Linked DNA regions of Callithrix jacchus. The protein of the gene in region 2 interacts with the protein of the main gene of each other region in a pairwise test. Links are inferred from orthologs where the notes say so. Each region holds a gene or a part of one and is shown on either strand. Other genes may lie near its edges.

Region 1 (3,752 bases), on a different chromosome or scaffold from region 2:
GTGCTGAACAATGGGAACACGTGGACATGGAGAGGGGAGCATCACACACTGGGATCCATTTCGGGGAGAACAGGGGAGGGACAATGGGAGGGAGGGTGGGGAGGCATAACGTGGGGAGAAATGTCAGGTATAGGTGATGCGGGGATGGAGGCAGCAAAGCTCGTTGCCATGAATGTACCTATGCAACAGCCTTGCATGATCTGCACACGTACCCCAGAATCTAAAGTACAATTAAAAAAAAATGCTACTGAAAAAAAAAAGAAATCTGAAGTTATGTTTTATCATTTTGTCTCCTCTCATTATAGTTCTACTCCATGTACTCAGTCATTGAGAACTGTCCATTCCTGCCTACAATACTTTTCTCCATTCCATTCGTGGATTTACAGTTATGATTACCCCTAATATTCATAATTGGAATCAATGCCTTGTGTCTTGTCCCATTATTACTCTACATGAAACTCTTCCATTATGCTTTTCTCTTTTTTTTTTTTAGAGACAGGGCCTTGCTTTGTCAAGCAGGCAGGCAGGCTGTGTTGTGAACATAACTCACGGTAGCCTAGAACTCCTGCACTCAAGAAATCCTCTAGCCTCAGCTTCTCTCAGCTGAGACTATTACGTGTGTGCCACCATGCCCAACTAATCATTATGCTTCTCTTTGACTCTAGAAACTCAAGTTGCTTTCTTTTGCCTATCACTATTACCTAAGACAAACTTAAAAGAGCAGTTTTTCATACAATATCCAATGATAATAGTTCCAAATTCCTAATTCCCTTTTAAGATAAAAACTCTTTAAAAATCAGAAACATGGCTGAGTGTGGTGGCTTATACCAGTAATCACTGCACTTTGGAAGGCCAAGGTGGGTGGATCACCTGAGGTCAGGAGTTTGAGACCAGCCTGGCCAACATGATGAAACTCTGTCTCTACTAAAAATATAAAAATTAGCTGGGTGGCACATGCCTGTAATACCAGCTGCTTAGGAGGCTGAGGCAGGAGAATCTCTTGAACCAAGGAGGCAGAGGTTGCAGTGAGCCGAGATCACCCCACTGCACTCCAGCCTGGGCAACAAGAGCAAAACTCCGTCTCAAAATAAAAAAAAAAATCGGAAATATAAGCCATTAGTAAAGACTATAACATTAACTGACAGCATGCCAAGTTTCTTTTAGGAGTTTAGTAAACATTCATAATGAAGATTATGATGCTAAATGTCATTATTTGCATGCAGCGGTTGCCTTTCTCAAACTAACAATCTCAGCATCTTCGGTTTCACTGGATTTAATGCGGAAGTGAGTCTTCATGACAAGGCCACCTCTCTTTTCTGAATAGAGGGGTTTAAATAGCTTGATGGCTTTCCAGGTGGTAAGTGTCAGCTAAAAGGTGGTCCCCACAAAGGTCACAATTACACAGCTGTGAATAGGCGACATGCTGCATCCTTCATAGCATCTGCCACAAAATAAAGGCTCAATATTTTCCCTTAAATTTGCTTTAAAAATCATTACCATTACCTAAATGAACATATTACCGACATGAATTTTAAAAACTGCACGTGTAACCAATGTCTAAAAATTGGGTCACATGAAACCTATAACCTTGAAACTGAGAATTTCCTCAGACTTCATGACAATATACCAACCACTTAATGTATACCAGGGGCTGAGGGGAACAGAGAACCTAATTAATCACGGTGACCTGATAAATGAGGTCACACCACTAAAGCAAGTGGTGCTCCTTCAGCCTCAGTTCCATTTCCCTCCCCCCACATCATGCTCCTCCTTAAGACACATCATTTGATTGAAGAGTTGAGGTGGGTATTCATTTAGAATTAATAATTAAACCTGCCTCCCAGTTCCCCAAATCTACAAGGTCCCTTAGACCTCCAGAAGCGCAATTTTGCTCACAGGAGAATGAAGCACATTACTCTCATCCAAGGCGACTACCTCCACGCATTTTGAAAGGGTTATGTAGAATCCACGTATTAAAATAAAAACCGTAACTTCAAAGTACTACAGTTAATGTTTCAATCAACAAAAGTGGGCGGAGGAAAACATTAAAAATGTAAAAACCCACCACTGCAGAAGCGTTATGCTTTAGTAGTAGGATAGTCTCAGCATAGGAAGAAAATACCACCTTGTCAGCGACTAACTTCTGATAAGCATGTGGAAATGCAAGCCAGTCCGCTCGAAAAAATGCACGCAAGGGGAATGACACGCGGTTACCGCTTGTGCCCTGACAGCCGAGGCCGTGAAACGACGAGAAGAGCGGCAGTGTCTGAATCACGCCTTCCAACCTCTCCGCCCCGCCCCGCCCCGCTTCCGGGGCTCCAGTTCACCCGCGGCACCCAGACTGCAGGTGCCAAGTCACAACTGCAAAGAAACTTCCTCTTCTCGAGCGGGGATGGGACCTGGCCGGGTCCCGAGGCCCCCGGCCGGTGGGCTCAGACGTTAGGAGCAGAACCCGTTCCAGGTCCCGGTCTGTCCGCGCGTCGGTGCCCTCCGGGGCTCGGGCAGACGCACCCAGTTCCTGACCGACCAGGCGCCGCGGCCCACCTGCCCCGGTACCCGCCGTCGGACCCCGTTGCCCTGCACCTGAGGATGTTGTCAGCATAGGTGAGCAGCAGCTTGGAGGCCTCCAGAAAGGTCTCCGGAGTGTTCTGGCAGAGCTCGGCCACGGCTGGGGACGCCGAGCCTGAGGAGCTGCCCAACGCCGCCGCCGCCGCCATGCTTGAGCGCCAGCGGCCGTCGCCGCCCCTCGCGCTCGCGTCCTACACTGAGCAGGCGCCTCAGCGCGCGGCAACTACCGCAGCCACCGGGAGGGGCGGGGTCCTTGGCCGGCAAGGGCGGGGCCTGGGCCTGGAGCAGGGGAGCTCGGCGGGGTGCAGCGGCGGCCCCTTGGGGAGGGGCGAGGGGCTGTTCAGAAGGGGTAGGGGCCTTGGGCGGCAGGGGCGGGGGGCTTCGGCCCGAGGTTGGGGAGGGGTTCCGCAAGGAGGGGCGGGGCCTGGGCGCAGGGACTGAGGGGCGTGGGTCGGGAGGAGGGTGTTTTCTAGTCCTCAGGACTAAAGAGCTCGGCTGGGCGGGAGGCAGGCTTCTGTCTAAAGACACCGGGCGAATGGTCCCGGCACGTTCCTCTCAGAAACCCGAATCCCTCTGCGCCCTGGGCCAGCCGAACTGATCCAGCCACTAAAGCGGAGAAACCGCATGTACCTCCCTCCTTTCCCCACAAGTAAAACGACCTTAGAATCATGTCCTTCGCTGGTTGTCAGGCCGTTCTACACAGACGTGGATGAAAGATCCCAGAAGAAAGGAGCAACAGACGTCAACAACAAAATCATGGCTATAAATGGCTGAGTTTGTTACATTAATTCTTTTCAGAATTTTGAGAATGACTGAAAATCAAAGTCCCAGCTCAGCTAGTATATGATTCCTCTGTAAAGAAGTGTATTTTTAAACCATAGGTTGCAACATAATAATGGGTTGTGGATTCGGTTTACACCGTAGTGACCAGCGTAAAACACATGCATAGTAGAATGTCGAGGGCGGGGAGGGAAGAGAATAAAAATTTGCATCCCACACAGTGAGGGTAACTATTATTTTGTGACTTGTTTTTTAGGTAGATCCTAGGTCTTTTATTCCTCTTAGAAGATGCATCTCTAATTACTTTAATCCAGTCTCTGCTCCACCATGTCCTTGAAAGTGTGCTTTACCACTGGCTTCCTGCTTTGCAGAAATTCCTTCTCAACCTCAACAGTAATTTTTCT
Region 2 (2,855 bases):
CCTTTCCCAATAAAAGCCTGCTCCCTGGCAGTCCCCCTGAAGAGACCTGTGTCCCCTCAAAGTGTGCCTCTCTGGATCCCCTGGTTCCTCCCACAACACCTAGGGCTGGGCTGGGGAATCCCCAACTTGGCTCTACTCAAAAGGGGGACAGGGATTGTAGGCCCTGCTTACTGAAGCTTCAGGACGAGAAAAGGCGGGGGTGCAATGGGCAAATAATAAAGAAGCAGATGGCAGAAGAGAAGAAGGCTTCTGTTTACCAACATTCTTCTCCGGTAATTAGCCAATTATGGGGTGGGGGGGAGGGGAGAAGTATAGCCAAAACAGACTGTGGTGGTGATGGTGGGGGCCAGGGAGAAGCAGTCCTTGTAAGGCTGGGCTGGGGTCCACTGCCTGGAAATGACACACTGGGGGAGGAGACACTGGGAGCCCCAATCTGCAAGGACTCACAGACTCCTCTCCCACTTCCCGGCACCCATCACCACGCCTGCCTGTGCCCAGACAGCCCCCAGACTGAGACAGGCGGGCGTGGGGAGCCCCAGCAGGCACGGACCATAGGGCTGGTTTTTTAAACTTTATTCACTTCAAAACCTTTATTAGAGACACGGTTCTATTCTGGGGTGGGGGTAGCCTTAACACTGAGCTTATGTTAGCCCTTCTCTAGGCTGGAGGCCAAGGCCAGACTGGGGAGGGGGCCTTGAACCTTTCAGGGCTCACTCCAGATGGAAAGATTTGGGCTGCTCCAATGGAGGATCAAATTTTGGGGCTCCAGCTTCCCCTCATCCTAGAAGAGGATGGGGTGGGGGGTCCTCAGGGATTCTTCTGAAGATGGAGAAGCAAGCAGCCGCCTTTCCATCTGGTTGCAGGGAGCTGGGACAGAGGCCAAGAGGGGCCCATCTGTCACCTCCCAGTCCTGCCAGCTTCTCTGAGCAGGCTGGGCTGGGGAGGAGGGGACAGCTGTCTGGCCTGGGTCTTCTCAGAGCAAGATGGGAACAAGGGCCACTTTAGGAGGACGGGAAGCTGGGCTTTTTGCTCACTGTTGTGTTTTTTTAAGGTTTTTGATTCTTTTTCCCACTTCTTAAATAAACATGTATATATATATATATTTTTTTCTTTTATAAAACTTTCATGGAGTAGGGGTAGAGTGGGGGTTTGGTGGCCTGGCCTCCTGGCATCACTCGTCATCAAAGTTCTGACTCAAGAGGAAGTTGGCAGCCAAGTTTTCGTTTTTTTCACACGCGAAATAGGCCTGGATAACCAGGCTCTCTGGGAACCCCAGGGCCTTCAACTGTGGGAAGATGGGTAAGTGTGAGCAGTAGAAGGTAGGGGTCCTGCCCACCTGCAGTTCCCCCATATCCAGACCTCTTACCCTCTCTATAGCTTCTTTCTCCTGCGGCGTCACCTGGATGTAGTTCATCTGCGGGGCCTCCTCTCCTATGGCACCCACCTCTGCCTCCACATCTGAGATGTCCGCCAGCTCCCCAGGGGGTTCGTTCAGCATCTGGATGAACTGCTCCTGGTGCCGGCTAATTTGCTGCAGGAGAGGGTGGGGAAGGGAGGGTAATTCACAGCCCTTGCCCCCTCCTCTCCCCAGGTCTTCACAGCCCTTGCTTTTTCATTCAGTCAGGCAAATCTCCAGAGGAGTCTATTCTGGCCAAACACAACAGACAATGTAAGCCCTGCTCTGGTGGAGCTGACCATGGGCTTTAAGTGAGCCAAGAAATGGGCCAGGCCTACTGACTCATGCCTATAACCCTAGCACTTTGAGAGGCAGAGGCAGGTGTATCACTTGAGATCAGGAGTTCGAGACCAGCCTGGCCAACGTGGTGAACCCTTATCTCTACTAAAAAGAGGAAAAGTAGCCAGGTGTGGTGGCAGGCGCCTGTAATCCCAGCTACTCAGAAGGCTCAGGCGTGAGACTGAACGTAAGAGGCAGAGGTTGCAGTAAGCCACTGCACTCCAGCCTGGACAACAGAGCAAGACTATCTTGAATAAATAAACAAAATAAAGAAATAGGCCAGGCACAATGGTTCATGCCTGTAATCCAAGCACTTTGGGAGGCACAGGCAGGCGGATCACTTGAGGCCAGGAGTTCGAGACCAGCCTGGCCAACATGGCAAACCCCATCTCTGCTAAAAATACAAAAATTAGCTGGGTGTGATGGCACATGCCTGTAGTCCCAGCTACTCAGAAGGCTAAGGTAGGAGAATCCAGGAGGCGGAGGTGGCAGGGTGCTGAGACTGCACCGCCACACTCCAGTCTGGGTGGCAGACTCTCAGAAATATAAACAAATAAATACATGAGCCAATAAATGAACCAGACGACTACAAGTGCCTGGCTAGAAAGGAAATGCAGATGAGGACTGGAGAGGTCTGCAATATGGAGGATGCAGAGGGTTTCCTCCAGGTAAAGCAAACAGCAAGTGCAAAGGCCCAGGGGGGATGCATCTGGAAATCTCAGAAGCAAGAACAGAGTGAACACGGAAGGGAAGACGGATGAGGCAGATAATAAGACCAGAGCGGAAGACCCTTTGGTCTTCTCAAGTCAGACCCATTTTCCAGAGCAGTGGGAAGCCACGATGATGACAGTTATTCAGGAAAATATGTGGTCTGAATCTTTTAGAAAGGTGAACTTGGCCAGGTGTGGTGGCTCATGCCTGTAACCCTAACAACTTGGGAGGAAAGGCAGGAGGAACTGCTTGGGCCCAGGAGTTCAAGACCAGCCTGGGCAATATAGACCCTGTCTCTATTCCCCGACTCCACTCCCCCGAACCAAAAACTGTGAACTCATCTGCGTGTTGGATTTGGGTATGTGGAAGTTCATTTGTTTGTTTTCGTTTCTATTCTTTTTAAGACAGA
Region 3 (3,752 bases), on a different chromosome or scaffold from region 2:
CTCCTCCTTCTGGGTTCAAGCAAGTCTCCTGCCTCAGCCTCCCGAGTAGGTGGGGTTACAGGCATGCACCACCACACCTGCCTAATTTTGTATTTTTAGTAGAGACGGATTATCTCCATGTTGGTCAGGCTGGTCTGAAACCCCTGACCTCAAGTAATCCTTTGGCCTCAGCCTCCCAAAGTGCTGAAATTACAGATGTGAGCCACCACCCCAGCCTTCAAGTCCTCTTTTTTAAAGCAGCACAAATAGAAGTTTTCACACGAACTCATTTTAACCGCTAGTTTGGTGAATAAAAACTAAATTTTAGTCCAGGTGTTGGCCACACACTGTGCAGCCTCAAAAACTGGAGATGAAAATGCTGTAACATTTACAAACAGGTTGCTTTCAATCTGTTTCGCTACAAATACCTTGTAATTCTGTGTTGCACGTGGTAGAAGCATTTCTGATGCACATTATGCCAAATTATTTGCCATGTTTTTAAGTACTAGTTGGTCTAGTTGGTCTTTATTGAAGCACAGAGGTTGGACAGCCTCCAGCTTATGAGAAGCACCCTACAAAGGTAAGGATGTTACCGCACTGTGACTCAACCATTGCCTTATAGTTTCAGTGTTGCAAAATTAATACTGTAAATTAAAAGCAATGGGCATAAGTTCTAGTCCCTAGGGCCTGGGCCTCAGAGCCTCCACCTGAGCCCAGAGCAGTGCCTAGAGGAAGGAGGTATTCCTGGAGGTTAGGAACACGCTGACGCCCCCACCCGCCAACACAAAAACTACCACCCCACCAAAGGATCCCAGACGGCTCAGAAAGGCCAGTGGCTACTTCCACCGCTTTTCGTGGCTGTTTCCGCCTCCAATTTTACTTCCGGGGAGGGGACTTCCGGGCCCGCTGCCTCTAAGGGGCGGGAATTAAAGAGGAGCCGGAAGTGGAACCAGCATTTCCGGTACAGGAAACTCGCTGCTGCCCCAACCTGGCTTGACAGGCGCGGTCCCTGCAAGTAGCTCTCATCCCCTTTTCCTTCTTCCTGCCTCACTTTCCAACTCGTTTGCCGCCGCCGTCCCGCAGCTGCTGCCTCCGGAGTTGCCCCTTCCCCATGTGCCGGGGCAGGAGTCCGCAAAACGAAGACCCGCCCGCCGGTTCACCATCATGTCCGAACTGACTAAAGAGCTAATGGAGCTGGTGTGGGGCACCAAGAGCAGCCCCGGTCTCTCGGACACCATATTCTGCCGCTGGACGCAAGGTACCCTGGCGGGGCTCTCACTTGCAGCCGCCGCTTCCTTTGCCCTGCGAGAGTCCGCCTGTGACGCCTCTCGCTCCAGTCCCTCGCGTGCCCCGCGCTTTGCCCCAGTCGCCGTGCTCGGCGCACAAGCTGGACTTTGTAGACACGCCCTGCTTGCCTTGGTTGGGAGAGGTTGAGTAGGAGAATGGCTACAGCTGCCACTAAATACCCGCAGCGCCTCTTCCACTCTCCGGGCTGCCCTTCGGCTGGGGAGAGGGGTGGCCCCTTGCTGGGCTGCTTGGCGTGACACGGAACGTGCGCACCGTGCCCCGATGTCACTTTCTCAAGGGGTGCTGTGGCCTTCCGCGTCTTTACCCCAACAGAGCTGTGTGTTGGTGGTGGATGGTCTATTTTTGGAGGGAAGGAGGGACGTCCACGGGAAAGTCAGAGTGGCTAATTCCAAACAGCAGTGTTTTGTTTGTATTGTCGTTATGTGGACAGGCGCGGTACTTGGTGTGTAAACCCTGTTGCCTGCTAAAACGTGTCCTTTGGCCCAAAGTATCCCCCTTTTTGATCTGGTTTATTATCTGTCAGGGTTAAAAAAGGAATATGGATCGTAGTACTTCCTCTGCTGGTCTAATGTAACACAGACAGGATTTTTACTTATGTAATAAGTCAGTACAAATAATAATGACATAAAACAAGCATTTATTGAATTCCTGCACTGTAACAAGCTGGGCGCTTTATATGCGTAACTATCCCTCATTCTTAAGTTTTGGTAGGCAAACACAACTGACATATTCCTGAAGGTGACTTAGGAAAGATGATGAGATTAAGAACATAGCCTTGAGTCCGAAGGATCGGTAATTTATGTATCTAAAACTCTACTATTATCAAAACATCTACTTAGAGAACACCTGTTCCCTAAATAGATTGGAGGGAATTTTGGCATAGTAAATATAAATTCCTATTTAAAAACATATATTTTGTAACAAAAAATCAGGATTTAAGTAATCTCACCCTCCCTCCCTCCCTCCATCCCATATATGTTTTAAGAGCTTATATTACAATTATGACGTATTAAAACTTGGGATATGTAGTCCCTCGCTTTTGCTTTGTAGATGAGAAAAATGAATTGTAAATGGCTGGGCCAGAGTTGCACAAATTGATAGAACCGGGAGTGGATTCCAGGTCTTTCAATTCCTAATAGATCTGTTTTTATTATCTTCCTTTGAGTTTCCAAAGCCTACATGTAATGACTTTGGTTCTTGTTTTCACATTCAATTATGTCAGTTACCTAATCTTGGGCACCTGTGAGGCAGATTTTACTTTAAAACTTCCCACCTACTTATTCTAATAGTAAACAGCTCTAAAATACACAAAACTGTGAAAGACTAAACAAAAAATTATTTCCATTGTAATCAGTTAACATTTATGAAACATTTACAAAGTAGAATAAGATAACATTCAGCCCTATTTATACTGACATGCAAATACAAGGAAGATTCAGGGCGGCAGTTCTAGTCATGGTTAAGAGCACTGTCTTTGGAATAAATGTACGTAGCTTCAGGTTCATTCGATTTAGCTTATTTAAGCCTCATTTTCCTTCTCTGTAACATGTAGATAGTAGACCTTATAAAGTAGTGTGAGGATTAAAGGTCATGTCAATAATTTAGGCACTTAGCACACTATCTGACATATAGTAAACACTGAGTAAGTGGTAGCTGTTTTTATATTATTTTAAAAAGTGTTTAATTGTAGACTAAGTCAAAAATCACTCTTTGGCTTTTCCCTGACAGTTACGATAAATGATTTATTTGATGGATAATCATTCTAAATAACACTTTATAATGACTTATTAGATTGCTTTGCCACCTTTAATCACGCAGACATTCCTTAAGATTAGTTCTGTCAATACCATTTCAAAATAAAGGATTTCTTTTTTCTTTTTTTAATTTACAGAGTGCAGTTATATTTTGGATATGTAATTCTTCAGGGTCTTAGCCTGATTAAGATTTTAAGTCAACCAAACATGTTTTTGAAGTTATCACCTCTGAATCAGAGGGGTCCCGTTATTGGTTTTGGTATGTTAACTGTCGTATTCATTTGTTCTTTGAGGCCATTGCTAAATACTGCTGTAGCAGTCCTTTGGGATTATGGGAATAGGCACAAGACACTGCTTTGCTGCATTGCTAATGTGACATCAACTCTGGCTTTATTTCATAGTCTGAACCGTGTCTTCATTTGACACCGCAGTCTCATTAGTCTTCTGAAAGCAAGATACAGGTGTAAGACCTTTGGCGTGGCTGTTTATACAATTACATCTAGACATATCCCATCTGTGGAATTATACTGATTGATCAAGCTAAATTCGTTTGATATGGTTGTTAAAACAATAAGCTGCAGGAATGGCACATAGTTGTTTTTAATTGGCTTTTTTAGATAATTCTCTTCTACAAAATCCCTGTTCTTTTTTTAAAATGTGGTTTTTTTTCTTCTTCTTTTCTTGGCCAGTTTTAACTTTAAAGGCAATAAG

What was found. The genes of interacting proteins can lie anywhere in the genome.
Region 1: the proteins of RAD23A (region 2) and NGLY1 interact in binary tests that used the Homo sapiens proteins (3 or more experiments, as listed by UniProt). The two-hybrid records come from large-scale screens. The link is inferred for Callithrix jacchus from reciprocal best matches to the Homo sapiens genes RAD23A and NGLY1.
Region 3: the proteins of RAD23A (region 2) and MINDY3 interact in binary tests that used the Homo sapiens proteins (3 or more experiments, as listed by UniProt). The two-hybrid records come from large-scale screens. The link is inferred for Callithrix jacchus from reciprocal best matches to the Homo sapiens genes RAD23A and MINDY3.

The regions. Positions count from the first base shown.
Region 1 is NC_133518.1:64,165,081-64,168,832, forward strand, and holds the start of NGLY1 (peptide-N(4)-(N-acetyl-beta-glucosaminyl)asparagine amidase), read right to left. Parts: upstream 2,739-3,752; 5' UTR 2,718-2,738; coding exon 2,584-2,717; exon of another isoform or gene 1,923-2,583; coding exon of another isoform or gene 1,897-1,922; intron 1-1,896. UniProt on the Homo sapiens protein: Specifically deglycosylates the denatured form of N-linked glycoproteins in the cytoplasm and assists their proteasome-mediated degradation. Cleaves the beta-aspartyl-glucosamine (GlcNAc) of the glycan and the amide side chain of Asn, converting Asn to Asp.
Region 2 is NC_133523.1:11,774,201-11,777,055, reverse strand, and holds the end of RAD23A (UV excision repair protein RAD23 homolog A), read right to left. Parts: intron 1,532-2,855; coding exon 1,367-1,531; intron 1,286-1,366; coding exon 1,172-1,285; 3' UTR 559-1,171; downstream 1-558. UniProt on the Homo sapiens protein: Multiubiquitin chain receptor involved in modulation of proteasomal degradation. Binds to 'Lys-48'-linked polyubiquitin chains in a length-dependent manner and with a lower affinity to 'Lys-63'-linked polyubiquitin chains.
Region 3 is NC_133508.1:16,717,169-16,720,920, reverse strand, and holds the start of MINDY3 (ubiquitin carboxyl-terminal hydrolase MINDY-3), read left to right. Parts: upstream 1-933; 5' UTR 934-1,143; coding exon 1,144-1,237; intron 1,238-3,752. UniProt on the Homo sapiens protein: Hydrolase that can remove 'Lys-48'-linked conjugated ubiquitin from proteins.